Linked DNA regions of Mus musculus. The protein of the gene in region 1 purifies or fractionates together with the protein of each later gene. This does not show direct contact. Links are inferred from orthologs where the notes say so. Each region holds a gene or a part of one and is shown in the gene's direction. Other genes may lie near its edges. The genes, in order: Lyar, Gnl2, Mybbp1a and Gtpbp4.

Region 1 (7,542 bases):
AGGAAGACCCACAATGAATGTGGGTGACACTATCCACGGGCTGGGGCCCCAGAATGAATAAAAAGCAGGGAGTGGCTGAGCAGCAGCACGCATCCTGCTGACTCCTGGCTGCAGATGTAATATGACCACCTGTTTCTCACTCCTCCCACCAAACCTCCCTTGCAATAATGGACTGCACCCTTTGACTACGAGCCCAAATAAACTCTTCCTTAGTTTGCTAGTATCAGATATTTTGTTATAGCAGCAATGGAAGTAACAAATACACACCTATATAGGTCAGTGAATTCAAAACTAGAGAAAATTAAAAGCCTATTTGGGCAGATAAGGTACAAACTAAGATAACTACCATCACCAAGCAGAGAGCAAAGCGATTAGACCTGCACCACGTCTGTTTAGGTATGCCTATATGCTTCTCACAGACAGAGGAAGCAAGAGAATGGAGAGTGCAGGATCCTGGGGTCTATGACCTGGAGGTGTGGGGGACCTCCAGGGCAGGAGTTCCAGAGTATGGCTGAGTAGCAGGTGGCATACCATGGAGGCAAAGGACAGGTCACCCTGAGTTTCACACCATCTGACAACCCTGGCTCTAACTGGGAAGGAGACAAGAAGCTCCTGTGTGGATACAGAAGACCTGGTCATTCCTCATCCACCTCCTGAGTCACTACTGTGGGCTGCCCTCCAGGGCAGCAACAGTGAGTGCAGGTGTCCAGGAGGCTTCAGTCCCAGGGAGCGCAGCATACCCAAATGGAACAATTGCAATAGACATGGGGGTAGAGGGTGGCGTGGGAGGCACACAGCTGAGTCAGATGTGACCTCTGGCATCCAAACACAGTGGAAGAGGAACGGGAGGAAGCTGAGGATCTTAACAGCAATCTGGGGCAATAATCTGTAGACGGCAAAAAGAAGGCCTCTCACAGTTAAGACTGGAGACTACAGGAAAGTTAAACACACAGCTTCTCTCTTCAATGGAATGAGGCGCTTAGCTGCTTTCCTGGAATGCTGGGAAATGAGGTTTGCAACCTGGTGATCCTTGGCTACCTGTTGAGCAGGCCCTGCCCATACCTTCCAGACTTGATGGTTAACTTCTGCCAGACCCTTTCCCCTTAAAGCCTTGAGCATTACTTGTAGGCCATAGAGCTCATCTTTGTGAGAGATGTCATTTGTACAAAAACAACAGCCTAGTGACTTCTAGGTCATCTTAGGGCCAGGCCAATCCTGACTCCTACAGACATTATGTTTACCTCATTATGTTTCAATCTCCCTAGATCCTAGACACTGGGCACTATTTCTAAATTAACAGTACCCATTCTTGTGAAAGAAGCCAGATATACTTTGTAAAGAATCTCAATGTAAACATGTCTTAAAATTGTTGTGCACTTGGGATTGATGTAACTGTTATCAGAACCCCCCCACCCCCAAATTGTGCTGTGCATAAATATGAGTAAAGTAAAATGATCTGGGTCAGACGCTGGAAGTCCTGGCCTGGCCCAGCTCTGGTTACAAAACTGAGCTGATCGGATTTTATTCTTACCGCACTGTGACTGTTTCCCCCTACTTGCTGTAACTCCTGTGGGGACCCTCCCACACTAAATTATAGTTTGGATATGAAGTATTTCCAAAAAGATGATAAGAGTTCAAGACTTAGTCCTCAGTGCAGGAGGAGAGTTCAAATGCGAGGCTCACAAGGGCGTGATTTTCCTCACTAGGATGAACCACTGACAAGTTCACAGCTGACTGAACTATTAGGGGGCTCAGCCTAGCCGGCAAACGCAACCGTCTTTACATGGTAAAGACATGGCTCACATCTCCTTCGCTGATTGCTATAGCTCTGACACCTGCAAGTGTCTGGCGCCTCACAGGTGCTCAGCATGTAGTTTGAGAATAGAGCGACCCTGTGGAACTAGAGAACTGTACGGTTCCTTCTAGTTCTGTAAGCTAAAATTGAAACCAAGAATATGATAGCAGAAAGATCACTGTGAAAGACATCAAACAATGCAAATACCATGGTGAGAAAGGCAAGGAGAAGTGGGGGGTGGGGAAAAGCTTGGATGAGGTAAATGAAGGGAAGAGGAGCCCACACCAGAATTTTAACCAAAAGGCTCCCACGGCAGAGTTTGGTGGGGTAATTCTGTCAGGCAGTTAACACTGGTGGATGATTTGTGGGAGGTTTGCCCTGAAGCTGTTTATATCAAGCTTTACAGGGGTCCTTAGGCGTTGTTAACTACTGTGCCTATCTTTATGCCTTTTTCTGAATGTATGTGCAGATATATGTGCATGTTTTGTGTAGACAAGGGTGCATATGTGTGGAGGCCAGAAGCCAGCCTCAGGCATTGTTCCTCAGGAGTCGTCCACCTTGTTTTTTTTTGAGAAAGGGTCTCTTACTGAGGTGTGAGGCTCACTGATTTCAGGAATCCACCTATCGCCACCTCCCCAGTGCTGGTGTTACAAGGGCATACCACCTAATGGGCTCTTTATGCATTCCGTTGCGTTCTCCAGAACCTCAGAATTTGAATACCTGTAGCAATTACACCCTTAAGAAGGCAACTGTATTTTAAAAATTAAAAAGAGCCTCTTCGGATGGGTTCTGTGGCAGAAATGCCTGAGCTGCGATGGCACAGAGGGAAGACTGTGTGGGGATACAGCAAGAGTGACCACCAGTAAGCCAGGACAGTCCTCTAAAGCAAGCAAACCCGATGACACCACATTCATGGCCCGCCGTCCTCTAGAAGTGTGAGAAACTAAAGCTCTCTCATCTGAACCACCTCATCTGTTGTCCCTTGCTTTAGGAGCCACAGCAAACAGGAGACGTCTCTGTCACCAACAAACGCCCACGCCTGGGTTGAGGTTTCTCACAATACTGTTCATAGCCTGCTGGACGTTCATTCAGTCATTTAAGCAACAGTGCCCACTAACGTATACCAGATGCTGTCTTTCCCACAGAGGCGCGCCCAGCACCTGCCGTGGTCCCGAGGAGTAGGCGCTGCAGTAATAGCATCCTACAGATGGAACACCATGGCACCTAGGATCACGCGGTGAGTGAGGCAGGGGGCGGCTTAGGGGCCCGGGGAAATAAGCGCCTCTCCTATCTCGGGGCGACGCAGACACCAAGAGCGGCGCAGACCGCAGCAAGGGTGACTGCAGGAAGGAGGAGGCCCGGCTCCGGTGCCCGGAGCTTAGCTTTGTGCTCCGCCGAGCCCCATCACACAGCGCTGCGAGTAAGCCGCGCGCACCCTACCCGCGCCAACCCACGGGAGTCGAGTGTCCCGGGCCGCCTTACCCGCGGAGGCCGCTCTCGCCCGGCCGCCTCCCTGACACCCTTTCTCGTCGCACTCTCGGTGTCAACTGCAGGACTCCAACCGCCTCGGAACCATTCCGACAACGCCCCCTCGGCAGCTCATCGGCAACTTCCGCCGCCGTCACTTCCGTCTGGGAGGGGCGTGGCCTCTGCGCGCACGCGCGTTGGCGCGCGCCGCCGGGATTGAGTTCTGCGCGGGGTGGCTGGGCGAGCCGGTGGCGGTGCTACGCTGGGTGGCTGCCGCTCCACGTGCTCCCGGCGGCCGGTTGAGACCGTTGGCGGGGTCGGCTGACAGGTGAGAACTGCTTGGAGCCCCGGGACATGGAGGAAGGGCGATGGTGGCATGGCTGCCTTCCTTGAGGACTCGCTCGCGGGCAAAACCTAGCCTTTTGAGTTCCTGGAGATATTGCATCCCGGTTTTTAGTCCGGCACTCGGGGCCGGCCAGATGGTACGGTTAGTCCTCAGCGCACAGGGCTTATAGACCTGCTGGCTGATGGGGAGAGGGCTTTTCTCTGAGGCTCGAGAACTAGGTCCGGAGGAAGGACCTTATGGCTCCTGGAGCTCAGAGGACCAAAGACCTAAGTGCCCGCGAACCCCCAAATATCGATCTAGATACAAGCTACTTAACCTAGTGGTGCCCAGCTCCACGTCTGTCCAAAAGGGATACCAGAGAATCTAATTTAGGGTGTGTGTGAAGTTTACAGGGGTAAAAGGCTTGGCGTATAGTGGTTGCTCAGCATGTGTCAGGATTTTTCCTGCAGCAGCTACCTCCTAGGAGATAGAGGTAAGAGAGATGATAGGGGTCTATGTGCCCGAAAGCCTAGCTTCTGCCCAGCGAAGCCCAGGGATATGAAGCCTGCTCAAATTGTGTCAAGAGTTTAGTGTCTACCGTAGTGCCTAACACCTGCAAGTTATTCATATGAAGCTGTGGTGAGGAGACTTGAACTGCCTCTACCGAAGCAGGGGCATGGCTTGGATTCTTTGAGCTTCAGTGGAAACATGTGGCCCACTCATAGTCTTCCCCTGGGGTCCCAAGAGGGTGGAGATATGTGCTGTTTTTTTATCTTTTAGTGTACCTGTGATTTCTAGGAATTCTGGAAGGAGCTTGTGCCTAGTTATAGTGGGCCGACTCCCTATTTCAGAGATGGGGAGAAATTGAAGTTTAAAGGGAGCAGTTGCCTGCCTGGCCTTTAAGATGGCCTGGTTTTAGGGCAAATATTGTCTCTGTGTGTACATGAGTTAAACAAGTGATAGTCCAGTCTGTAAAGTGCTTGACACACAAGCATGAGGACATGAATTTCCATGCCCAGAACCCAGGTTAAAAAGCAAGATGTGGTGACAGAACCCTGTGGCTCTCTATCCAGCTCGCTTAATAAACTCCCAGTGAGAGAGAGAGAGAGAGAGAGAGAGAGAGAGAGAGACAAGGTAGGGGGCTGGAGGCATGGCTCAGGGATTAAGAGTATTTGCTGTTCTTCCAGGGGACCTGAGTTCAGTTCTCAGCACCCAGAATCTAAGAGATCTATATTAGTCGGGGTTCTCTAGAATCACAGAACTTGTGGGATATCTACATATTAGGGGAATTTATTGTAATGACTTTTATAGTCTATAATCCAACTAACCTAACAATGTTAGCTATGAATGGGAAGCCCAAGAATCTAGAAGTTTCTCGGTCCCACAAGGCTGGGTGTTTTAGGTGGTCTTCTGTATATGCTGGAATCCTGAAGAAGTAGGTTCCAAGAGATGTGCTGGCAAGTAAGTGCAAGCAGGAGAAGAAGAGTGAGTCTTCCTTCTTCCAGTGTCCTTATGTGGGCCTCCAGCAGACGGAGTGCCCCAGATTAAAGGTGTGTACCACCGTGCCTGGATTTGGAACTTGCTCTGTCTGTCCCAGACTGGCCTTGAACTCAGAGATCTGCTTGCCTCAGTCTTCCTGGGTTTAAAGGTGTGCTACCTTGCCTGGGCCACTGTGCCTCAAGATGTCCATGTCAAAATCCAGGTCAGAAGCCTGTTTCTTCTGGATCATAGGTGTGCCCTCCATTTCTGTATTGTAGTTCATTCCAGATGTAGTCAAGTTGACAACCAGGACTAATCATCACAAGATCTGACGCTGCCTTCTGACCTCTAGGAGTATGGGCACACACTTAGAGGCTCAACGCTTATAATAAAATAAGTCTTTAGAAAAGGGAAGGTGGGCAACTCCTGAATTAGACCTCTGGCCTCCCCAAGTTGCTCTTGGTTTTAGTGTTTAATGGGAACCTAACAGGGCATTGCTGTCTTCGCTTAGCCCAGGATTCTGTCTCGTAGTCTGTGGCCTTTACACTTCTGATGCTCATAAGCCTGGCCTGAGACTTGAACCTCGCTGCATGGCCAGTTGTGCTGGCTTTCTGGTTCTGAGCCTTGCTGTCCTTTGTAGTATGTACTGCATACTTCTCATAAATGAACAGTGTTCTCTCCGAGCTGGAGATGCTGCACAGCCAAGGTGACCCTGGGCTTTCTCCCTCCCTCCCCCCATCTGAATAATCTCCTTACAAATCTTATCTCATTAGCCCTGCAGGTGGACACACTGATTCTCGTTTCTTGTCCAATAAATAGGTAGAAAACCAGTTGAGCATGACTCCAGAGTGGTGATCAGTTGAACATATGACCTGATTCCAGCCTTCTCCTGAGTTGGTGTTCACACTGTGCCATGGGGAGCTGTTTTTCATAGTTGCTGCAGGCATGTCTTTTGCCATATCGCTTTGTTGATTGCTGTATCTTGTTTCTTGGGCTTTAATTCTGGTCTTTCCCAACGACAGACCCGTGGATTCCCAAGGTTTACTCAAGCCTGCCCTCTCCTCTCAAGCTTGACCAGAAACAGCAGTCGTCAGCCGCAGAGGTTGAAAGCTCTAAGTTAGTAGGTGTTTTCTTCATTGTCCTCCTTGCAGAAGCGATTCCTGATTTTTCAGTGGATCCTTTAGCTAATCACAGCAACTGTTCCCTGTGCTATGATGGCAGTCCGTTTCTTGATATCCAATTAGCTGACTTTTTTCTTGTTCTTACGTAAATGTATAAGGATGTCCAGACTAGGTGGCAGTAGGCTCTTGTTCTTGCTTGTGCGGTGGAACTGCTGCCCTTGCTGCCTAGCATTTATTTACCTCCATCCGCCTTGTGCAAAATGATAGTAAATATTTTAGAAGCCAGGCTGTGGTAAACATTAAGCATGGTTCCAGATCCAGAAGTGTGACACATGTCTTTAAAAAACAGGCTAGACAACAGTACTTGGATAGCCTAGAGTGGTCCTATCTACCCCAGTTTGCCTTTGGTGCCAGGCTGTAGCTGCCCACATGCCTGCCCTTGCTAATCAGCTCTGTTCACAAGCTGAGGAGGAGGGCACAGGACATCAGTGTCGAGGACCTGTGATTTGTATCTAAGGTGAACCAGTTGTGCCCTAAAGGACAGGAGGCCTTTGTACACAAGGATGGACATTTCCATTCAGGACTCAATGGAAGAAAACCATCCTGCTCTTGCTTTGGTTTGGCGTGACCTCACTGGCTTGTGTCAGAGGGGCGATGGTGATTTATGCTTGAAATCACTGTAAACAAAGTGCAGCCCGTTGGTGCTGAGTTCTTACATGAAGTAGAGAAGCAAGTCCTATGTGTTTACTTAATCCTCAACCTTCATTTCATACTGAGGAAAAGAGTTCTGCGCTAAGTGGCTGTATTTGGGCTGAATGAAGCCCATTTTATAAGAACAGGACTGCTCTCTTAGAGTCTGATGACTAGAAGGCTATGTAAGCATGGAAAGTTACCATGATATTCGTAACACTTTAGGAATCTGATAGAGTATGGTAGCATGCATGCAGTGTGTGTGTGTTGGGGGGGGGTGCCTGTGCAGATGCCCTCCATGCTGGGTGCACTTGGTGAGGCTGGCACACCTGGGTATGGAGCTCCTGCGATGGGTTCCTTTTCTTCCTCCCTGACATGCATGAGCCCTAATGAAACATGTTTGTTGGACCTTGTCCACTGAGGCCAAGGGGCTGTCTTTCACCTGTGACCCATTGTGCATGTAGGAATCGTTTCTACAAGGCCATGACATCATTTCCCAAGTAAGTTGTTGTGAGGGCTTAGTTGGTTAGTGCCAGTACATATTCCTGTTTCACGCTGAGAACTTGGCTGGTTTTTCTGCCATTGATAGAAGTATGTTACTTCTCGGAGATCACTGGTAAACTTTGAGCTTGCCCTTTTGTTGTGAAATTCACTTATTGGGAGGA
Region 2 (6,954 bases), on another chromosome or scaffold:
CTGGGTCTCTAGACCACTGCAGTTTATAGTTGATCTTTTTCTGACCCTCCAATGATAATATGAAAAGTGATAAACCTGCATAAAGGTCATGGGGTTTGTTTGCTTGTTCAAATTCGTGTTTTATTTTGTGTATGCATATTTGTGGTAGATGAGTGGTCAGAGGAGTTGATTCCCTTCTTCTCCCACGTGGGTCCTGGGGACCTGACTCAGGTTGTCAGGTTTGGAGCAAGCATGTTTACTCACTAAGCCATCTTGCCAGCCCTTTGTTTATTTTTTAAGTTAGTGCACAGAGTAATGAGTTTCATTGTGGTGTTTTCATATCTATGCATACTTTGTGTGATGAGTTGTTTTTATTTTCACTTTATATTTGTTTGGGAAAGAAAAGATCGTTAGTTTTCTTCATTCTTGTGGGGATCCATAAAGTAAAGATTACAAATTGCCAAAAGGGGTTCCCCTGCCCTGCCTCTCTTTTGTGAAATAGGGTCTTGCTATTTGGCCCTGGCTAGCCTGGAACTCAGATCCTCTGGAGGAGCAGTAAGCCCTCTTAACTGCTGAGCCATGACTCCAGCTCCCTACTCCCCAACCCCTTTTGTTTTTGATCCAGGGTCTCACTGTGTGTAACTCTGGTTGGCCTGAAACTCACCGAGCTCTCTGCCTCTGCTTCCTTAGATCAGGAGCTAAAGGCGTGCACTGACACACCCGGCAGTGTCCTTCCCTTTAAGTCCCTCCATTGTGCACTTGCACCACATCAGCTTGATCTGCTGTCGGAGCTTTGCTTCAGTGACTTTGCAGAGTCACCTGCATATCCTTCCCTTTGTTATACTTTGGGGTTTTTATGTTTTGGGGTTTTTATGTTTTCGTTTTTTTTGTTTTGGTTTTTTGTTTTTTGAGACAGGGTTGCTCTGTGTAGCCCTGGCTGTCCTGGAACTCACTCTGTAGACCAGGCTGGCCTCGAACTCAGAAATCCACCTACCTCTGCCTCCCGAGTGCCGGGATTAAAGACGTGTGCCACCACGCCTGGCTGTTTTCGTTTTTGAGACAGAGTCTTATTGTGTAGTCCTTTTTGGCCTGGAACTTAACTGTGTAGACCAGGCTGCTAAGTCACAGAGCTCTGTCTACCAGCTCTTGAGCTGAGGTTACAGGTGTGAACTACTACCATTGCCTTTTCTTCTTGATAGTGCTTCAGTTGCTCATTTCTGCTCCTTTCTCACTTAGAAATGAAGCTCAAGAAGAGATATATAAAAAAGGGCAGTCAAAAAGAATATGGGGAGAACTCTACAAGGTAAGGATCGTGGCTCTCACTGAGGAGCAGGCACAGTGGCTGCCCGATTGAAGGCCTTGGATGAAGTAATGCTTTACTGCTTCCCTCATCCTCTTTTCCTCCGTGAAGGAGCTGTGATGTGCACTCTAGTGCTGTGCTGGAAAGGAAGAGCACTTGTGTTCTGTTGCCTGTCAGTCCTGTACACTGCCCCTTAGGATGTACCCCGCATGGTTAGTGCTGCCTAAGAAGGTGTAAGTTACTGCCAGTGCATGCCTTTAATGCAGCACTCAGGAGACAGAGACAGGCAGATCTCTGTGACTTGCAGGACAGTCAGGGCTATAACACAGAGAAGCCTGTCTCAAAAACCCAAAGGGAGGTGCGGGGGGATTGTAAGTAGTTACTTAGCCTCACTATCTCGGTCTGGGAAGGGTTAATACCTTAGCCAGCCTGCCTAACTCTGTGGGGAAGGAAAGAAAGGCTTTGTGTGTACTCCTGAGTGCTGACCCAGTGCTTTTGAACTGACTGTCTGGGGGCTGTGGGGGGGTGGTAATATAAAAAGCTCCAGGCACTCCATGTAATTAACCATAATAGGAAACTAAGACCATAAGGGAAAACTAGGCAAATTTAATTTTCTGTAAAATAACACAAACCCATACACAATACCTGGTACTTGTGAATCAGATGGGCTTGATCTAAGCCAGCTTTCCTATTTGAAATTTGACAAGTTTTGAAAATTCTTGACCAGCTTTTGAATTCTGATGAGTGGACATTGAGAGTGGCTGCTGTTTACTCCCCTTGCAGACTGTTTGCTTCCAAACACGGTTTTGTCCCTCTGGGCTCCCATAAATGTCCCCTTTATTTTGTGTGCACTGCAGCCAACTGTTCCTGCCTCTTTGGATTTGCAGGTGATAGACTCATCAGATGTTGTCGTTCAAGTCCTTGACGCTAGAGATCCGATGGGCACTCGTTCCCCCCACATCGAAGCTTACTTGAAAAAGGAAAAACCCTGGAAACATCTCATTTTTGTACTCAATAAGTGTGACCTTGTTCCAACTTGGGCAACCGTAAGTTCAGCTCGTGACCCTAAACCCACTGTGGAGGCCAGTAGGGCAAGCCATTCACTAGCACATCAGTACATAGATTCTAAACAGCAGGCCATCGAAGTGTCACACTCTGGGGGTTGCCCTTACTGTCCTTACTGACAGAGAGCTAGCACATGCACTGGCGCTGGGCAGAGCCACCTTCCGTCTCCTGGCGGGGGCAGCTGCAGGCTTTTGTGTCCCCCCAGTGGAGGCAGTTGCCAGTCACTGACTACGTCCCCATTGTGTTCCATTAATTGCATTTAGTAGTTAAGTTAGTTTTTGGAATATTGTTTTGTAGTCAGTTGTTAAACAAAAGACAAAGCACTAACTGTCATACTTGAAAAAGCATCTCAAAGAATTATAGCTGCTGTTTCCCTTAGGCAACGCTGTATTTGAAGCCATCCAGTAATTCCAACTCTGATTCTTCTGAATATTGTAAACAAACAGCTATAATTTACCAGCGTGTTTTCTCCTCCCCTTAGAAACGATGGGTTGCTGTGCTCTCCCAGGACTACCCAACACTGGCTTTCCATGCGAGCCTCACCAATCCCTTTGGGAAGGGAGCATTCATTCAGCTTCTGCGGCAGTTTGGGAAGGTAGGGAGGCTGCTGCTGCTAGCTTGGGCTGGCGTGTGTGTCCCAAGTTGTTAACATTGGGTCAGTACCTTGGAGGTAGAGGCAGGAGGACCAAAAGTTTAAGCCAGAATGGGCTACATAATGAAATCTCGTCTCACAACAACTGTTTTGTTCACTTCTCAGTGTTTTCTAGAGGTATAAAAAACCCGCAGGCGCTCTGGATCAGGAAGGGTCTGAAGCATTTTCTCATCACATGACCTGTTCTGCCATATCACTAGCACCAGGTAGTTCTTTCAGCCTTTGTCACAGGGTAGCTGCCCAGCCCATCACTTCAGGGACATTCTGAACGTCCCAGAGCCTTCTCTCCTGCCTGGCTCTAACAAAGTCATGCTTCCCGTCACACCCTTCCTCATTTCCCAGAAGTAGTACTTTTGACTCTTGGCCATCACGTCTGTTATTTCAATACTGTGTGCTGTTGGTACATACTGATGATTTATTTCTTGATTCCCCCAACTCTTTCCCGTATTTTTACATACTTATTAAATGTTTCCTGCTTTAAAATTTTAGGGTTAGTTTGGGGGGGATTCTATTTTTTTTCTCCTTTTTTTTTTTAAAGTTAGACATTGAACCCAAAGCCTTAAACATGCTTTTAAGCACTTGTCAGTACTAAGCTATGACTTAGTGCGTGTGGCTCTCACACACGCTCCCCCTCTTCCCCTCTTGAGCTCACTGTTTTATGGAAAAGGGTTTCATTTTGAGGTGTTTTGAGAACAGATGGAACTGTGATGCAGGGTAGCTCCATAGTCACTGTGTAGTGACTTTGCAGCAGCCATCCTGCCTCAGGCTCCTGTAGCCTCCTGATGCTGGGTGCGGTGAGGTTGCTTGTGTCCATCTTCCTCACATACATCTCTCACTCACTCTGCTTCTCAGGCCAAGTGTCATTTGGCGTTCACAGTCTTCTGACGGAGGTGCCGTTGAGAGCAGTGTACTCAGGTGCTCTCATGCTCCTCTCTGGTACAGGGGTTTGTTTCTGCTTCACGTCATTTGCTTTGTCATTTATTTGTATGTTTAACATTTGGGCAGACAGATGGTAGAGAAGCTGGGCAAGCAAGTAGTCTACTTTTCAGCCAGCCCTCTCTAGTAGGAACTGTCTGCTCTCAGTCTGTGGTCTGCCTTCAAGTACTAAGCCAAAAGCTTCCAGTCTCAGCTACTCAGAGACAAGACTCCTCTCTCCCAAATCACTTTAGCTCAGGAGATTGAAACTGCCCTGTGCAACAGAGAACTGGTATCAAATTGAAAGCAAAAGTACCCACAACTCTGATAGACTCTTGGTGTCTTTTTGGTGTGGGGACTGCTAGCAGTGGTGGATCTCACTGAAGCGGGTAGTGTTAATTAGGGACACAGGCATTTTCTTTGGGTTTGTCGTTGTCTCCAGAAGAGACTCTTCCAGTTTCTAGATTTAGCTCTGGGAGCACTTGGGGAGCAGGGTCTAGAGGAATGGTCTCACTGCCTTGTGTTTAGACTTGGTTGGGACTTGAACACTTGCCTTTTGCTGTGCTCCAGCCATGTTCAGACACACATGTCTCCAGTGGGCATCTCTTAGGCTCCTTCCCTAAAGATGTCTCTACTGTGGCTGGTGATACACTGTGATGAGGAGATGGACAAGCTGTCTCCTCCTGATCTACATCCTGTTAACCTAGAGCAAAGATGCTTTACGTGGGTGCCTGAGGTCACGGCTCACTCCTGACATGAAAATACACTGTATCTCCTGGGCTGTGAGGCAGGCTTGTGTTGAGGATGCGTTAAATGCTCTTTGCTATAGAAGTCCTTCCATTAGCCAAATAACACAGTGTGACCGACCTAAGGGAGCTAACTATGGCCGAGTATATATGATAGATATTCTTTTCTTTACTTTTTTTTTTTTCACAGTTGCACACAGACAAGAAACAAATCAGTGTTGGGTTCATTGGCTATCCAAATGTAGGCAAGAGCTCTGTGATTAATACATTACGATCCAAGAAAGTTTGCAACGTGGCCCCCATTGCTGGAGAAACAAAGGTATGTATGGGTTCTACTCTGTTTTATTTCTATGAAGACTTGACTGTTTAAGATATGGAGATCTCCCCTCTCTTCTTCCCTTCCTCCTGTCCCCTTCCTTTCTTTAACAGTACTGGGGATCAAACCCAGGCCACACACATGCTAGGCAAGTGTTCTGCAGTGGACATGGCCCCTGTCCTGCCCCCTCTCAGGATCGGTGCACCCTGTTGGCTAATGCTGGGGTGTGATTTGGTTATGGCCTACATTTAATTCCTTTGTAAATTGCCCTTGTACTCTTTTTTTTTTTTTTTAAAGATTATTCATTTTTATTTTACATGTATAATTGTTTGGCCTGCATATATGTTCACTGTGTATGTATCTCTTGCTAACTGAGGTCAGAAACAGACACTAGATCACCTAGAACCAGAAATATTGACCGTTGTGAGCTGCCACGTGGATGCTGGGAACTGAACCTGGGTCCTCTACAAGAACAGCAAGTGCTCTAAACCACAGAACCAACCCCCCGTATCTCTTAACTCCAACCTTTTGCTTTAATAAAACCAACCCAAGAATATTTGGTGTCTGGGTTAAGAAGGAAAGAAAACATGCTGGGTGTGGCTTTAATCCCAGTACTCGGGAGGCAGAGGCAGGCAGATTCTGAATTCGAGGCCAGCCTGGTCTACAAAGTGAGTTCCAGGACAGCCAGGGCTACACAGAGAAACACTGTCTAGAACCGCCCCCCCCCCCCAAAAAAAAAGAAGGAAAGACACCCGGCGAAAACGTGGTCTTTAGATAGCTTCTATTATTTAGAAGCAGCAGCCATAACAGAGTTTTGGGAACAGCGTTGTTCTGCCTTGTGACAAAGAAGCTAGCGTCTCTGTGTTTCTGAATGTTTTCAAGACGTGAAGAGGTTCACTGTGGTGGCTTTGCACAAGACCAACTAGAAATCCTGCCTCTGCCTTATTCTTGGACTCTCAGTGATGGAACTCTAGTATGTCCTTGGTGGAAGTTGTCATACTTAAGTAAAGGATAGGCTCTGGCCTGATTATTCAGCAGGTTGCTTTATAGCTTAATATGACAATGTCACAGATCAGTGAAGTTTAGCTCCCAGTATTTGACTTTGACAAACTTAGGATTTTCTGTCTGCAGGTCTGGCAGTATATTACCTTGATGCGTCGTATATTCCTGATTGACTGCCCTGGTGTGGTTTACCCATCTGAGGACTCAGAGACCGACATTGTGCTCAAAGGAGTGGTGGGTATTTGTCCTCAACAATTCTGTTTTCGTTTGTGGGGATCCCTAAGAGCCTTTGCCATTCCTTGTTGAGAAGGCAGCCTGGGGTCAGCCTGTCTAAGCAGATGCAGAAATATGATGCTGAACAGAGCAGCCTCCTTTCCACTCAGCCTACCTCAGGAGGTTGAGGGGCTGTGGGCATATCTGGTCAGTGTCATCCCACAGTAGTGTGCAGTTACCACATGGTATCCGAAGGGAAGCAGGGCTTGTTTATGCTTAGTGATAATTCATCTCATGGGTTTATGGATTGAGTCATCTTGGAACCCAGTCATTTCCTCCCTTGTTTCTGAATATGACTGAAAACTTAAATGATTCCCCCTAACCATAACCATGCTTCTAGCATAAGTTCTCTGCACATTCCTCCCGTCCTTCTGAAATTCTTGGATTGCTTTTTGTGTTCTGGGTTCTGGGAGTAGCAGGCATCTTAACCGTTCCTGCCAGTGAGTGACACAGAGCATTCCAAGTTCAAACTGCCTGTGGAGGCCGCACACAGTCTGTGGTAAAGCAGGATTAGAGTTGAGCTCTGGGCTCCCTGGCTGCGGTCAGCTTTCAGGGGTGTTCCTTGCTCCTGCCAAACTATCACAGACACAGCAAAGTCCTAGTCACCTCGTGATAAAGAAATCCATTTCACTTTATACAAATCACTGAGTTTTCCTGTCTATGCAAAAGAATTGAACACAGCATTTCTATTATTCTCTAGGTTCAA
Region 3 (7,455 bases), on another chromosome or scaffold:
TGGTACCCACACTGATGGAATTTCTGACTTTTCTATCAAATAAAGACCAGAAGATGATGAAAAAGAGTCTGAGTGCCACTCACCTTTGGGAAAGCCCAGTGGAAGGTCACCAGCCCTTACTGAGTCTTTGGGCAGGGTGGGCAGCTCCATCTTCCACTGGACCATTCCCTGCTGATCTTTATCAATTGGACTGGAAGCTAATAAAGTTCAAATCTTCCGGGGACAGAGTGACATCTGTGCTCTTTGGCTAACTTTCCTGTTAACCTTTGCAACACAGGTGATGAACGCCAGACACAGGGGGAGGAGCCTGGGTCTGTCTCTTTCGGCTTCCCCTGCTCCAGCCACCTTCTGCTTTCTGGGGTTCCATCTGCACAAGGTAAATCTCTTAGTTTCACGTGTAGAACAGATGGCAGAGCAGAGAAGGGTTGGGAAAATGAGTAGGAGGTTCCCCTGGGTACAGAAGGGCTGGAACTGGGTTGTTCCTGATCTCTGAGATCTCTTGAATACAACCCTTTAGAAATAGTTCCTCAGGCCAAGAGCAAGGACACCCAGTAGCACTTCCCCTACCTGACAAAGAGAAAGGAAATTCTTATTTAAGGGTTTGAGGGTTTAATTTTTTTTTTTAATTAAAATGATACTTTTAGACGGGCAGTGGTGGTACAAGCCTTTAATCCCAGCACTTGGGAGGCAGAGGCAGGTGGATTTCTGAGTTCGAGGCCAGCCTGGTCTACAGAGTGAGTTCCAGGACAGCCAGAGTTACACAGAGAAACCCTGTCTCAAAAAAAAAAAAAAGATGCTTTTATCTTCTGTGTGTGTGTGAACTGCATATATGCACATGTCCCACATGCTTCTTCTGTCTGAGGTCAGAGGAGGGCTTTGGCTCCCCTGTAACTGGGGTTACAGATGTGAGCTGCTATATGGGTGCTGGGAACTGAACCTTGATCCTCTGCAATAGTAGTAAGTGATTTTTTGTTTGTTTGGTTTTGTTTTTTTTCCAGACACGGTTTCTCGGTATAGCCCTGGCTGTCCTGGAACTCACTCTGTAGACCAGGCTGGCCTCAAACTCAGAAATCTGCCTGCCTCTGCCTCCCGAGTGCTGGGATTAAAGGCGTGCACCACCGCGCCCGGTTTAGTAAGTGCTTTTCACTAACACGCCATATCCCTTGTCTCTATAATTTTGTTTTTTAAGGCAGAGTCTCCCTGTGTAATCCAGTCTGGCCCAGGCACTGGGATTACAGGATCACCAACACAGTCAGCTAATTGTTTTGTTTTGTTGGCTTGGGGATCAAATTTAGAGCACTGATGTGCTTGGCTGGTGTTCTATTTCCATACCATATCCCCAAACCCAAGCTAGCAGAGCTCTTAATTGTACCATCTCCACTTCTCTCTCAGACAAAACATTGCTAGGCGCAATGATTCCACCATCTATTCAACGATTTTAGCTTTTAGCCTGGTGTCCTTTCTAGCAAATCATCTCCTTTGGCCCAGGTCATCGCCTACGTTGACATTTGCCATAGGTTAGCCAAGGCCTTACTCCAGCATAATTCACTGCCTCGGTACTCACAGCCACGGGCTGTGGCTGCTCTCAGCTAACAGTTGACCTTTTAAAACTGTAAATCAGATGTAAATCCTCCCTGCACTCTCTGAAGAAATTCTGAACCCTTGAGCCTGGCCCTGGGTTCTATATAACCTTGCTCCTGGCACCTGAGTCCTCCTCCTCACCTTACTGACCTCATTCCCGTAAGAGATGAGTGGCCTCTGTAGAAGAAATGTCCTTGGCCTGCTCTTAGATTTTTGCCCTGGGGACAATAGAGCCCATCTTGTCCCTCAGCTGTCAGCTCACATGTCAGTCTTGTCATGGTCTCTTAAATAGAATCTTAGAATCTATAGAATTTTCCCTTTAATTTTTTTTTTGGTTTTGTTTTTGTGTGTGTGTGTGGTTTTGGGTTTTTTGGTTTTTTTTGTTTTGTTTTGTTTTGGTTTGGTTTGGTTTTTCGAGACAGGGTTTCTCTGTGTAGCCCTGGCTGCCCTGGAACTCACTTTGTAGACCAGGCTGGCCTTGAACTCAGAAATCCACCTGCCTCTGCCTCCCAAGTGCTGGGATCAAAGGTGTGCACCACCATGCCCGGCTTCCCTTTAATTTTTTTTTTTTAAGAAAATGTTGTTTATTTTATTTTATTTTTTTTTTTGTTTTTTGTTTTTTTTTTTTTTTTGGTTTTTCGAGACAGGGTTTCTCTGTATAGTCTTGGCTGTCCTGGAACTCACTTTGTAGACCAGGCTGGCCTCAAACTCAGAAATCCGCCTGTCTCTGCCTCCCAAGTGCTGGGATTAAAGGCGTGTGCCACCACCTCCCGGCTGTTTATTTTTATGAATACACTGTATCTGTCTTCAGACACACCAGAAGAGTGGATTGGATCCCATTACAGATGGTTGTGAGCCACCATGTGGTTGCTGGGAACTGAACTCAGGACCTCTGGAAGAGTAGTCAGAGCTCTTAACCGATGAGCCATCTCTCCAGCCCCTCCCTTTAATTTTTAACAGGCGATGTTTTCACGTTTTTTAACATTTAAAAGGCTCCCTCTGCTCCCTACATTCCTTATTTTCCTCATAACTATCATTTAAAATGTATTTGTCTACTCGTTCATCAACCATCTCTTCCCACTAGAAAGGAAGTCCACAGAAGCCGCGGCTTTGTTCGGATGCACACAATAAAAGCGGAATAATAGCGGATGTCTCGGACTAGATCGCGAGCAGACCCGGGTCTGGGAAGAGATCATACTACGGCTTTTTCGTGGATTTGTTTGCACCTCCGGTCGTCAGGAACTCCTCCAGGTTAAAGGAAGAGATCGAAGCATCAGTTTCTGAGCACACGCGCGTGTGAGAACACTCTGCTCCACCCACAGCCACAAGGGAAAGGCAAGGCCGTACGGAAGCCACTTCCAACCTGCTAGGCCCCGCCCTCACTCGGACGTCCCAGTGCGCAGGCGCCGAGACCTGACCTGGAAGTGACTGTCTTCTGAGCCCACGTGTTTGGCTCAGCATGGCGGAGATGAAGAGCCCCACGAAAGCTGAGCCTGCGACTCCCGCAGAAGCGGCGCAAAGCGACCGCCACAGCCTGCTGGAGCACAGCCGCGAGTTCTTGGACTTCTTCTGGGACATTGCGAAACCGGATCAGGAAACGCGGCTCCGGGCCACGGAGAAGTTGTTGGAGTACTTGCGCACAAGGCCCAATGTATGATGGAGGGGCCCAGGCCCATCGTGGCTCTGGATGCAAGGGGGAGGGGTGGGCCCTTCAGATCACTGTTGAACACGAGGGATGTTCTTGGTTCCGTAGGATTCGGAGATGAAATATGCCCTGAAGCGCCTAATCACTGGGCTTGGGGTGGGCCGAGAAGCCGCTAGGCCCTGCTACAGCCTGGCGCTGGCACAGGTGAGACTGTGTGTCTGGCAAGGGCACGATCTCGCTGGGCAAAGGTGGCGTCTAAGGGTAGGGGGCACCGAAGCTGCGGGGTAAGAAGAAATCCGAGATGCTTCAGAGGGGATACAGGCATCCTTACTTGGGTGGGAGGAAGTGCCAAAACATGGCCTATGTACAGCAAAGTCCAGGCAGGTGGAAGAGTTGAACACGTTTTCTTTCTGATACACGTTTATCAGCTACAGAGTATTAGCTACAGTTACTGGAAGTAGTGAACTTTGAGGTTGATTTCTGCAAGGTTGGGGAGCCGCCTCCAGGTTAGGAAGGCAACTGATGACAGACCACGTAGAAATTTGTACAGCAAAAAGCAATGAAGACTAACCAGCCTCAAGGCAACTCAGAACAGGATCTTTGGATGGGATGGGTTTTCCCAAGAGGTACAGAAGCAGCCTAGGCCTTCTGAAGCCTTGATGGAGGTGGGGCTTAGCCATGTAAGATGTGGTCCCTTGAAAGCAGTAGCGCTTGTGAGGGATGGGAGGAGCACGGAGATTATATTGGGGAAAGCTGAAGGAGGGAAATGGACTTGGTCTGGTTTGTTGTCCCTGGGCCACTCCTGAGCTCTTTCTGGTCTTGCCTGGTAGCTGTTGCAGTCTTTTGAAGACATCCCATTGTGTGACATCCTGGATCAGATACAAGAAAAATACAGCCTACAAGCCATGAACAAGGTGCGTGAGATTCCCAGACAGACAACCTGCTCCTGAACAGCTATGGGGAGGGACCCTCTTCACCTGTGTTTTCAATCTTTTTCTAGGCAATGATGAGACCTAGTCTCTTTGCAAACCTTTTTGGAGTGCTAGCCCTCTTTCAGTCAGGCCGCCTAGTGAAGGTAAGAGCTTTTGGCACGGGGCGCAGGGACTGGTTTAGGGCTGGAGGGGAACAGATGGTAACAGACCCTGCTCTTCACCTTTTGCTCTCTGTGGATACCAGGACAAAGAGGCCCTGATGAAGTCCGTGCAATTGCTGAAGATCCTGTCCCAACACCCCAACCACTTACAGGGACAGCCAATAAAGGCTCTGGTGGACATCCTCTCTGAGGTAGAGAATCACAAGTCATGCCGTCTGATTTGGGAAACGTTGAAAAGATTTGGGTAGGAACATGATGAGGACAGATGGTTTGACCATGCAACTGGTATGAGGAGGTTGTTTGTTTGTTTGTTATTCCTCTCTCACCAACTATCTTAAATCTGCCTTGTCTTTCAGGGTCTCAGCACATGTCCACTCAGTTAGGCAGTTCAGATACTCCATAACCCTCTCTGGTGGCCTTTGTGTGGCTAGTGTGGGTCTGGAACAGTGCTTGTCAATGCCTGAGTATGTAGAAGGCAATCTGAGTACATTTGCCATAGTTGGTTTGGTCAAGCCTGGGTCTGTTTGTATCTAGAGTCATTTGCCACTGTCTTGTCCCTGATTTGTCCTTTTGGCACAAATGGAGACAGACCAGAATTTAAGTTGCAGCTCCCCACATAGGGCTCTGTGTATATGACACCGGCTAGCCCTCTTACAAAACAAAAAGAGGTATAGTTTTGAATATAGACCCCAGGCCAGTTAGTCATCAATACAGTGCTGGGGTCTGCTGCTTGGCAAGTTGACTGACTAGTGGTGTATCCGAAGCCCATGGGTAGAACAAGACCCACCCTTTCCACCTGTGCCCCCACTCCAGGTCCCAGAGTCCATGTTCCAGGAGATCCTGCCAAAGGTCCTCAAGGGTAACATGAAAGTGATCCTCCGCTCTCCCAAGTACTTGGAGCTCTTCCTCCTGGCTAAGCAGAGGGTGCCGACAAAGCTCGAGTCACTCATGGGCTCGGTTGACCTGTTCTCAGAAGACAATATTCCCAGGTTTGAGGAGATTGTGAGTGGGTTCTCACGGGGGTGTCCTGCACTGTAGTCCTCCGGGTAACGTTTACTGAATCTCCTCTGCCTTCTAGTCTGGTGAACATCCTGAAGGTGGCCGCCAACTCTGTCAAGAAGGAGCACAAGCTGCCTAATGTGGCTCTGGACCTGCTCCGCCTGGCGCTCAAGGAGAGCAGATTCGAACTGTTCTGGAAGAAGGTTTTGGAGGAGGGGCTGCTGAAGAATCCGTCCTGGACATCCAGGTGTGTGTGACACTGGTCTTCCCTCTCCTCCAGCCTGGGTGGGACCTGATCAAGTACAGGGCCTCTGACCAGGCTCTGCCCCAACTCTCCTTAGCTACATGTGCTTCCGCCTACTGGGTGCGTCTCTGCCGCTTCTGTCAGAGGAGCAGTTGCAGTTGGTGATGCGAGGAGACTTGATCCGCCATTTTGGGGAGAACATGGTTATTTCTAAGGTAGGTGTCGTCTTCCCATGTGGTTCAGTGCTGCCTGCAGGGCCAGGGCAGGGGTTCTTCCTCTGAAGATCTGGTAGGGGAGGACTTGGCCAGTAATCAGGCCCTTTTGTCCTGGGGCCCACTTACCAGCAGGCCCAGCCAGCCATCTATTTGGAACACTGCTGGGGGGGTCACATTGAGGGGAGTGGTTATTGACCCCAGTGTGTTCTGCATTTTGTGCCTAGCACCTGTAAGACAGTGATGGGGGTGGGGGGCTATACAGAAAGCACTTGGGTTTTGAGCCACAGGATGGCACGGGTAGGTACTGGTCTATCACGACTTGAGCTTAGGTTCCCTTCATGCCAGTCAATCTTGTCCGCAATCTTTGAGGGAGAATTGGAACCTTCTTGTGCTGGGGATGAACTAAGGAATCAAGGATAGACCTTGATGGAGTTGTGGCAAAGTTAGGTTCAGCCCTGCTGTGTGACTGGAGTGGCGAAGTCCTGGGTTTAGTCTCTATAGACAAAGGTGGTTGCCTGCCTCTTCACTCTGATAACCCAAACTCATGCTCATCTCTTGCAGCCCCAAAACCTATTTAAGATCATCCCAGAGATAAGTACATACGTGGGTACCTTCCTAGAGGGGTGCCAGGATGACCCTAAGCGGCAGTTGACTATGATGGTGGCCTTTACAACCATCACCAATCAAGGTCTCCCTGTCATGCCTACCTTCTGGCGTGTCACGCGGTTTTTGAATGCTGAAGCCCTGCAGAGCTATGTGGCCTGGTTGCGGGACATGTTCCTGCAGCCTGACCTGAACTCCTTGGTTGACTTCAGCACTGCCAACCAGAAGAGAGCTCAGGACGCCTCGTTGAATGTGTGAGTGGCACGTGTCAGGAGCTCTGAGGAGCTCAAAGCCTGAGTGCCATGGCTTCAAACTAGAGGCAGGAGAGGAGGAAAGTTAGCCCTTGGTTGTGCCCTTGTTTCTCCTGACAAGAGGTCGGGGCAGGGTGCGGGTGATCCCGGGGCAAAGGGGTACCCTGTTTCTGAGGTCACTTACATGGCCTCTGCTTCCAGGCCTGAGCGAGCTGTATTCCGGCTCCGGAAGTGGATCATCCACCGCCTGGTCAGCCTTGTGGATCATTTGCATCTGGAGAAGGATGAAGCTGTGGTTGAGCAAATAGCCAGGTGTGTGAGGGACACTGTGGGTGGCATGACTACGAAACTAGGTCCCTTGCCTGGTCCTTGTTTGGTTCCCGTGGAGCCAGAAGCCTTCAGGTTACGTTGCTGGCATGCAATAGGGTATCTACTGGGTATGCTTCCTATGGAGGAAAGAGATGAGGGAAAGCAAAGGTTCAGACTCAATCTATGGGTTCTGTAGCAAGCAGCTCTGGCTCCTCCACTTGATCTCAGGTGGCCTGCTTATGTTCAGAGGGTCAAACTAGAGAAGTGGCCCTTGCATGGTCCAGTGAAGGGCGTCTCCCCATGCCGCTGCTGATTTGCTCGCAGGTTTTGCTTGTTCCATGCCTTCTTTAAGACGAAGAAGGCTACGCCCCAGATCCCAGAGACGAAGCAGCACTTCTCCTTCCCTTTGGACGACCGCAACCGTGGGGTCTTTGTCAGTGCCTTCTTCAGGTAGGTCTGGGCTACCCAGGAGATGAGGACACTTGTTTTTTTCTGAACTGTGAACAAGGTCAGCA
Region 4 (7,541 bases), on another chromosome or scaffold:
GCTGTGCGATTCTGGATATGAAGTATGTCAGATCAGATCAGAAGGTTGCTGGTTGTTGAGGACTTTTTTCTTTTCTTCCTCTTTTCTTCTTCCTTCCTTCCTTCCTCCCCCCCCCCCCCCAAAGAAAGGGTTCGTCTGTGTAGCCTTGGTTGTCCTGAAACTTGATCTGTAGACCAGGCTGGCCTTGAACTCAGAGACCCACCTGCCTCTTGAGTGCTGGGATTAAAGGTGAAACCATGGCTGGCTATTTCTGGGATTTTAAAAAAATATTAAACTGTAAATAACTAAGTTAATATAAATACTAAGGTCATATAAATGTAAGATATTTTTCAATTACTTCCCTTAGATTAAGTGCTGAAGAAAGAATGGCTTCCCATCAGAAGCAAATAATGTATTATCTAAACGATGGTAAAAGAAAAAGGACTGGGGGGTGGAGCTCAGTGGAGGAGTGCTTGCCTAGTTCAATCTCCAGCACTTTACAAGAAAAACAAATTAGTTTAGCCAAGTGTGGTGGTGTCTCATATCTATATACCCAACAACACCCAGGAGGCTGAGGCAGGAGAATCACCACAAATTTCAGGAATTTTATTATATAGTGAGTTCCAGACCATCTTAGGCTACAAGCTGAGCTCCAGATAAGCTTGGGTTAAACAATGAGTCTCAAACCAGTCTGGGCTACAGAGCAAGACTTCATCTCAAAACAAAAGAAAACCAAAATCCCAAAACAACTTTTTTAAAAAAAAGGGTCCAACAACAAAAAAGAAGTTGGTTCTATAATAGTTTGGGGAAAGCCAGGAGTTTGAGAAAATACAGGACCTGAATAAAGGAACAATGGGGAAATAGCTTTGCTCATTTCAGATTTGTTGGACAGAGCCTTCCTGGGTAGTATGTGATTACAGCCAGTAAATTCTAGTAATCTTGGAGGTTTCATTTAGAATAATCAAAGCATGCTTATTTAACTTGCTGACACAATAATGAGCAGTAATGCTAAGATAACAAATGGCAATGTGCTTCAAATTGATTTTTAATACTGGAACGATGGGAACATGATAGACATTTTCATGAAGAAGAGCAGGACTTGTTAAAAGATCTGAAAAGTGAGAGAGCACACACAATGACTTAGAAGCAGTATGTCAAAGCAGGTTTTGTAGGAGCCAAGCCACATGTTCAAGGCTTTTTATATAATTCTTATATATCTTATATAATTTTATATAATTTCTACATATAACAAAATTGTATAGTTTTGTTTCCTCACCAAATATTATAAGGTTTTTGTAGGAGCTAAGTGAGTTAATTTGGGGTCAACTGCTTTGAACACTGCTTGAGCTATAGTCAGCCCTATTTAAGGTTTAACACCATATGGGATTCTTGAGTTACCTGAGAGTGAAAATTTTATCAATTGTCCAAGTGCTTCATCCTTATCCACTTCCTCCTATTTGAGCTGGGCTCCAAGGACTGAGTCTCCTTGGTGAATACCTGGATTCTGCTAACCCACTGTGTGGGACCACATACAGCTCTTTTGCCTTATTCCATAATTTTCCTTCTCTGCTCCTGTTCCTGGGATTCATCATCAGTAGGGCCACTCTTCTTATGACCTCACCTCTGCCCCTGAGGCCTCATCTACTAACTTTGTTTCAAGGTCTTTAGTCTTGGTCAACCTTGCTCTTGACTCTGTTCAGTTTTGTTCAGTACCCTAGTGGGGAGTCAGAATGTGAGGCTGTCCTTTCCTTTCCTTTTTTTTTTTTTTTTTTTTTTTTTTTGGTTTTTTGAGACAGGGTTTCTCTGTGTAGCCCTGGCTGTCCTGGAACTCACTTTGTAGACCAGGCTGGTCTCGAACTCAGAAATTCACCTGCCTCTGCCTCCCGAGTGCTGGGATTAAAGTCGTGCGCCACCACGCCTGGCCTTTTTTTTTTTTTTAAGATTTATTTATTTTATGTATGTGAGTACACTGTATATGTACAGATGGTTGTGAGCCTTCATGTGGTTGTTGGGAATTGAATTTTTAGGACCTATGCTTGCTCCAGTCCACCCTGCTTGCTCCGATCAATTCAGTTCACTCAGTTTTTTTTTTTTTTTTTTTTCCTTTTTGCTTTTTCTGAGACAGGGTTTCTCTGTGTAGCCCTGGCTGTTCTGGAACTCACTCTGTAGACCAGGCTGGCCTCAAACTCAGAAATCCAGCTGTGTCTGCCTCCCAAGTGCTTGAATTAAAGGCATGCGCCACCACTGCCGAGCCTCACTCAGTTCTTGCTTACTCCAGCCCAAAGATTTATTTATTATTATACATAAGTACACTGTAGCTGACTTCAAACGCACCAGAAGAGGGTGTCAGATCTCATTATGGGTGGTTGTGAGCCTCTATGTGGTTGCTGAGATTTGAACTCAGGAACTTCAGAAGAGCAGTTAGTGCTCTTACCCGCTGAGCCATCTCACCAGCCCGAGACTGTCCTTTCCAACAGCACAGAGAGATGCATTTAGTCAGAAAAGCAGAAAGTAAATGCTCTTGGGAAATACCCAATTTAACATATCTGGAGTCTGATTGAAAATGTCTGATTGTAATTAAAAAAGACACCAGGCTGAAAGCAACTTGTATTATCAAAGTAGTCCACACTGGGGCTGTGAAGGAGAAAGGAGAAAGGAGACTTTGAGGAGAGGAAGAACCTTGAGGATTATCTAGTTAGGGAGAGACTCAGGAAGGTAAATTAGCAAAGAAGACTGCATTCTAGACATCAAGTACCAGAATGATGGATGTCACAGAAAAATAGGGAGAAAGGTTTGAAGAAGATGGCAACACCTGAGAAAGGGTCTTTTAGTTAAAAGATAATCATGAGGCAAGAGTAGATGGATTAAGGTAAAGAAATGGGTGGCTTAATTAAACTGACAGGGAAAACGCAAGTGGGAAGGTTGGCTTCAATCCATGTAGGTCTGTACGGATCAGACTTTGTGTCTATGTCTGGTGCCTGGGTTCTGGGCAGCTGTGTGGGGGGCAGAGTTTTTTCACTGGCCCATGTCAGGTGAAGGTCAGGTGAAGGTGGAGCACCCACAAACCACCTCGAGACTGCAAGGTCAGGAGAGGAAACTCGGGCCACCTGGAAGTATGCAGTCTACTCCATTAACAGAAGCCCCGTCAACATAATTTACTCGAATAAATAACTTTCCACACTGCCAGGCGACAGACAGCCTTTCTTGCTCAAGGGACACCAAAGTGATGCAGAAGCCCCGCGCTGCGTCTTCCCGCTCGTCACTCGCTCTGGCCGCGGCGTCCCCAGAGGTGGCTGGAAACACCCTTTGGAGCCCCGAAGCCGGCTTGGGTGAGGGCAGTGTTTCCTGAGAGCCCCGCCAAGGTGGCCAGCCGGGAGTCTCCCTTTCACCCCGCAAGGTTATCTCTCCCACCTCTAAACCCAGCAGATCTCTACCGCGGCTCTTGGCGGCGGACTTCCCGGCCGAGCGGGGACGCTGTGGGACTAGAAGCCTGTCTAGGCGGACGCGTGGGCCACGCCTCGCGGACATTCAGGAAATGATGTAACGCTTGAGTCCGGCAGCCAAAGTTGTGTCACGCCGGATAGCGGAAGTCCCGCCCACCTCCGCCGGCGGAAGTCCGGTCCTCCGCTTCTCCTGGTTCCTCGTGCGTTCCACCGCCGGCATGGCGCATTACAACTTCAAGAAGATTACGGTGGTGCCGTCTGCCAAGGTAGGGGTGACAGAGGTCGTTTCCGCCTATCTCCATTTCCCCGACAAGTCGCCAGGGAGGGTCCAGGCCTGTATCCCCGAGACTGGGGGAGGGAGGACACCGTGCAGTCCCTCGGCCCTCAGTGCGGAGCTCCGCTTGCTAGGCTTTGTCCTCGCGACCCTCGGAGATCAGTCCCACTCTCTGAAACCAAGCCCCTCTCCTGCTGTCCTTGGGTACCCTAAGCCCTAGAATCCCTCCAAGACATCAGGGCCGTTCCAGAGCCTATGATTCTTGTGTGGCCTGCCGACGGGACAAAGTGTCTGGGTGGTGGCCACAGTAAGGAGCAGGGTAGGAAGCCTGAAGGGGCCAGTGGTGAGCGTCGTGTGAGTACCCTCCCCTTTAAGTAGAATTTGATTCGTGACGTCACGGTCTAAAAAGATTTTAGGTAGCTGTCATTTTGTCGTTGGACTTAAAAGATGCAATTGGTTATAAGCACGCAAGTAGCCAGGCCCACATTATGTAACGTAGCAAGATGCTTTCCTCCCAAATGTCGAGAATGAGGTAGGCTAAAGAACCTAAAAGGATACACCGGTTTCTCTGGCAAGCCATGGGCATTAAATTGCAGAATCAGTTAGAGGAACCAGTGTCACTATCGTTAAATTGACCGCAGTGTGGGTGTTTTCGACATCCCCCTTTCTGAATGAGCTTGCTTTGAAAACTTGTGTAAAGAACTAGTATTTTCTGGTGGGCGTGGTAGTGCACGCCTTTAGTCTCAGCACTAGGGAGGCAAAGGTAGGCGGATCTCTGAAAGACCCTGTCTTGAAAAGACAAAAACCATGTTTCCACTAGTTGTTTTCCTTACACGTCTCTGTATTTCTCCTTTCTTCCTCTTTCTGATATCCATTCTGATACGTTTTTCACACGTTTGTAATAATTGGAAAGAAACTACATGTAGGAATCACATTTTGTTTTAGCCCACGAGACTGTCGCCACTACTTCTCAAGTGCATGTTGAAGGAACTCGTACACTTTTTATTTCACTGGAAATAGAGTTCATTGGGTCAAAGGAACTTTGTTGATATAATTGACCTAGGAAAGGCAGCCTTTGTCTCTGTTGCCCTGAAGGAGGTCTGTTTGCAGATGAGTTTGCATGTGTGTAGATAGGTGGTGGGAAATAAAAAGTCAATCTGAAGAGTATGGGGTGCTTTTGTAAAGTGTGTGCCAAGTTCTGTGTATAGAAACACATAGAATAGTCTGCGTCTTTAAGAATCATATTCTGGGGGCTGGCGAGATGGCTCAGTGGTTTAGGAGCGCCGACTGCTCTTCCGAAGGTCTCGAGTTCAAATCCCAGCAACCACGTTACGTCTGTAATGAAATCTGATGCCCTTTTCTGGAGTATCTGAGGACAGCTACAATGTACTTATATATAATAAATAAATAAGTAAATAAATCTTAAAAAAAAAGGATTTTCTGAAGGAATAACTGAATGTGTTTATACCCACCGCAGTATGATGGAGAAGTGTGAGCTCCAATTGGCCCTCTGTATGAGTTCAAATCCAGAGTCAACCAACACAGATTAAAAACACTATTTGAAAATTGCATCTATATTTAATGTACATAGACTTTATTTTCTCTTTTTTGTTTGTTTGCTTTCTTTTTGTCTGCCTTGGCTGGCCTGGAACTTATACATTTCTGCCTCTAGGATTAGGATTAAAGGCGTGAGCCACCATGCACATAGACTTTTTAAAGGAGCATTCCCTACATATAGTTACAGCTATTTACCGTATATGACAAATATATGTGGATTCTTCTACACACAAGTACTGTGCCATTTTATAAAGTGAACTCAAATATCTCTCTGTTTTGGTGGGCGAGGGCTTGGGTGGGAGGAACCCTGACTATAAACTCCTGTAAATATCAGAGATTTGGGATAACATAAGAATGTAGTGAGAACTGGGCAGTCGGTGTTAGTGCATGCCTTTAATCCCACTACTGAGGAGGCAAAGGCAGGAGATCTCTGTGAGTTTGAGGCTAGCCTGGTGTACAGAGCAAATTCCAGGACAATCAAAGCTACACACAGAGAAACCCTGATTAGAAAAATAAAAACAAAGAATATACTAATAAATGGGTGAGTTTGGAGAAACTTTTCAGTAGGCAACTTTTAAAAGATATGAGGACCATGGAAAGGAACAGAGTAGAAGAGCAGCAGGCCTGAGTATCCATGCTCTCCGTAATCTGGCAGACTGTATTGTGATTACCTGCTTGCCTTTGGTTTTGTTTCGTTGGATCTTAGTGTCTTCTTCACTGTTTTGTCTTCAGCATTGTGTTCATTCTATCCTTTATTATAGAAAATGATCAATATTGTTCAATTAATGGAAGTGATCAAGGGAAAGTAGAACAGCTTTCTATGGTTGGGTAAAAGTGAATAAGTACAAATATCTCAAATAGTCTACTCAGCATACCCAGGAAATTTTAGATGATGAGTTTTAGATTTTTCATTTTATACCCCTTTAAAATCAAAGCTACAAAATCCTTGAAATTGAAGAGCTGGCTCTTTTTCTTCTGATTTATTCTTGAGTTTATTTGAAAGTTAAAATAGCATTAAAAAACATGGGGTAAAATATATTTCAGCAACCATTAGCAAGTCCTCTCTTCTACCCCAGGCATATTTTTATTGGAAGAGTGACAAGGAAGGGGCCTCCTCCATCAGTTGGAAGTATTCACAAGTTTTTCAGCCATTCCAAACTCAGGTCCTGGCGTGGTTGGACACATGGAGCATGCTCCCATTATCAGGGGCAGGGGCTGGGTCTTTGTGAGGCATGGCCTAGTTGATCTTGGTGTCATACTTGGTGTAGGGGCTGAGCGATTGAGGGCATAAATAATGCAAGGCTCTGACACTTAGAGACACTACCAGCACTGTCCCTTTTGGTCAGGCATTCTTGAGGAGGGTTGAGATTCTCCCAACTATCTTAGTCTTGGTGGTGGGTAGCAAGTTTTCATAAAGGCCAGAAACTATAAAGATGAGCCAAGTTGTATACAAAACAGTTGATTTTTGAAAAAGTAAATTTTGTAGTTTAAACCATGTACTACTGGGTTAATGCTTTAAGAAAGTTATAAGCAAATGTTTGAATTTTAATTATTCTCTTTAATCATAGGACTTTATTGACCTAACATTATCCAAGACTCAACGAAAGACTCCAACGGTTATTCATAAACATTATCAAATTCATCGGATTCGACATTTTTATATGAGAAAAGTCAAATTTACTCAACAGAATTACCATGACAGACTGTCACAGATTCTGTCGGATTTCCCCAAATTGGATGTAAGTGACAAGTATGGTTATAACATAGAAGACTACAGAGAGCCATATTAGCCAGATGGATGTATTTGTTAGAGACGAAATGAAATAACTGATGTGTCAGTTACTTCTCTTCCTGTGAACTTAGCAGAGTGGTTTAGAGAGCCCAGGCCCCCTCTCCAAGCTCCACCCCCTCGGGCAGGCGGCGTGCAACCTAGTGTCTGGGGAGAACTGGTCCTAAGTGGTTCTGTCACTGTAGTAGGATTGAGGTTAGTGTGACTACCAGTGACTGCTTGTTTCCTTAGGGGTGGCTTGATGGCTTGACAGGGTCTTTGGCCAGGACACGGGGTCTGGGGATCAGAGCTGCAGGTTTGAAGAGGGGAAAGGGAGCTGCTTCTCCGGTGGCTCTTTTCTTCTTTTCTTTTTTTCTTTTTTTGGTTTTTCGAGACAGGGTTTCTCTGTATAGCCCTGGCTGTCCTGGAACTCACTTTGTAGACCAGGCTGGCCTCGAACTCAGAAATCCGCCTGCCTTGCCTCCCAAGTGCTGGGATTAAAGGTGTGCGCCACCACCGC

Evidence for each region.
Region 2: the proteins of Lyar (region 1) and Gnl2 purify together in Homo sapiens (affinity purification with mass spectrometry; 3 studies listed by BioGRID and IntAct, with this or other methods). This does not show direct contact. The link is inferred for Mus musculus from reciprocal best matches to the Homo sapiens genes LYAR and GNL2.
Region 3: the proteins of Lyar (region 1) and Mybbp1a purify together in Homo sapiens (affinity purification with mass spectrometry; 3 studies listed by BioGRID and IntAct, with this or other methods). This does not show direct contact. The link is inferred for Mus musculus from reciprocal best matches to the Homo sapiens genes LYAR and MYBBP1A.
Region 4: the proteins of Lyar (region 1) and Gtpbp4 purify together in Homo sapiens (co-immunoprecipitation; 3 studies listed by BioGRID and IntAct, with this or other methods). This does not show direct contact. The link is inferred for Mus musculus from reciprocal best matches to the Homo sapiens genes LYAR and GTPBP4.

What each region holds. Positions count from the first base shown.
Region 1 is NC_000071.6:38,217,046-38,224,587, forward strand, and holds the start of Lyar (cell growth-regulating nucleolar protein), read left to right. Parts: upstream 1-3,436; 5' UTR 3,437-3,590; exon of another isoform or gene 3,591-3,744; intron 3,745-5,885; exon of another isoform or gene 5,886-6,009; intron 6,010-6,088; exon of another isoform or gene 6,089-6,186; intron 6,187-7,542. UniProt on the Homo sapiens protein: Plays a role in the maintenance of the appropriate processing of 47S/45S pre-rRNA to 32S/30S pre-rRNAs and their subsequent processing to produce 18S and 28S rRNAs. Also acts at the level of transcription regulation.
Region 2 is NC_000070.6:125,041,399-125,048,352, forward strand, and holds part of Gnl2 (nucleolar GTP-binding protein 2), read left to right. Parts: intron 1-1,215; coding exon 1,216-1,282; exon of another isoform or gene 1,283-1,488; coding exon of another isoform or gene 1,489-1,491; intron 1,492-2,166; coding exon 2,167-2,325; intron 2,326-2,825; coding exon 2,826-2,939; intron 2,940-3,101; exon of another isoform or gene 3,102-3,202; intron 3,203-4,847; coding exon 4,848-4,976; intron 4,977-6,104; coding exon 6,105-6,209; intron 6,210-6,948; coding exon 6,949-6,954. UniProt on the Homo sapiens protein: GTPase that associates with pre-60S ribosomal subunits in the nucleolus and is required for their nuclear export and maturation.
Region 3 is NC_000077.6:72,438,344-72,445,798, forward strand, and holds the start of Mybbp1a (myb-binding protein 1A), read left to right. Parts: upstream 1-2,983; 5' UTR 2,984-3,040; coding exon 3,041-3,232; intron 3,233-3,334; coding exon 3,335-3,430; intron 3,431-4,056; coding exon 4,057-4,140; intron 4,141-4,226; coding exon 4,227-4,301; intron 4,302-4,402; coding exon 4,403-4,510; intron 4,511-5,132; coding exon 5,133-5,308; intron 5,309-5,397; coding exon 5,398-5,565; intron 5,566-5,659; coding exon 5,660-5,777; intron 5,778-6,338; coding exon 6,339-6,634; intron 6,635-6,832; coding exon 6,833-6,943; intron 6,944-7,264; coding exon 7,265-7,390; intron 7,391-7,455. UniProt on the Homo sapiens protein: May activate or repress transcription via interactions with sequence specific DNA-binding proteins. Repression may be mediated at least in part by histone deacetylase activity (HDAC activity).
Region 4 is NC_000079.6:8,992,096-8,999,636, reverse strand, and holds the start of Gtpbp4 (nucleolar GTP-binding protein 1), read left to right. Parts: upstream 1-3,624; 5' UTR 3,625-3,640; coding exon 3,641-3,688; intron 3,689-6,821; coding exon 6,822-6,992; intron 6,993-7,541. UniProt on the Homo sapiens protein: Involved in the biogenesis of the 60S ribosomal subunit. Acts as a TP53 repressor, preventing TP53 stabilization and cell cycle arrest.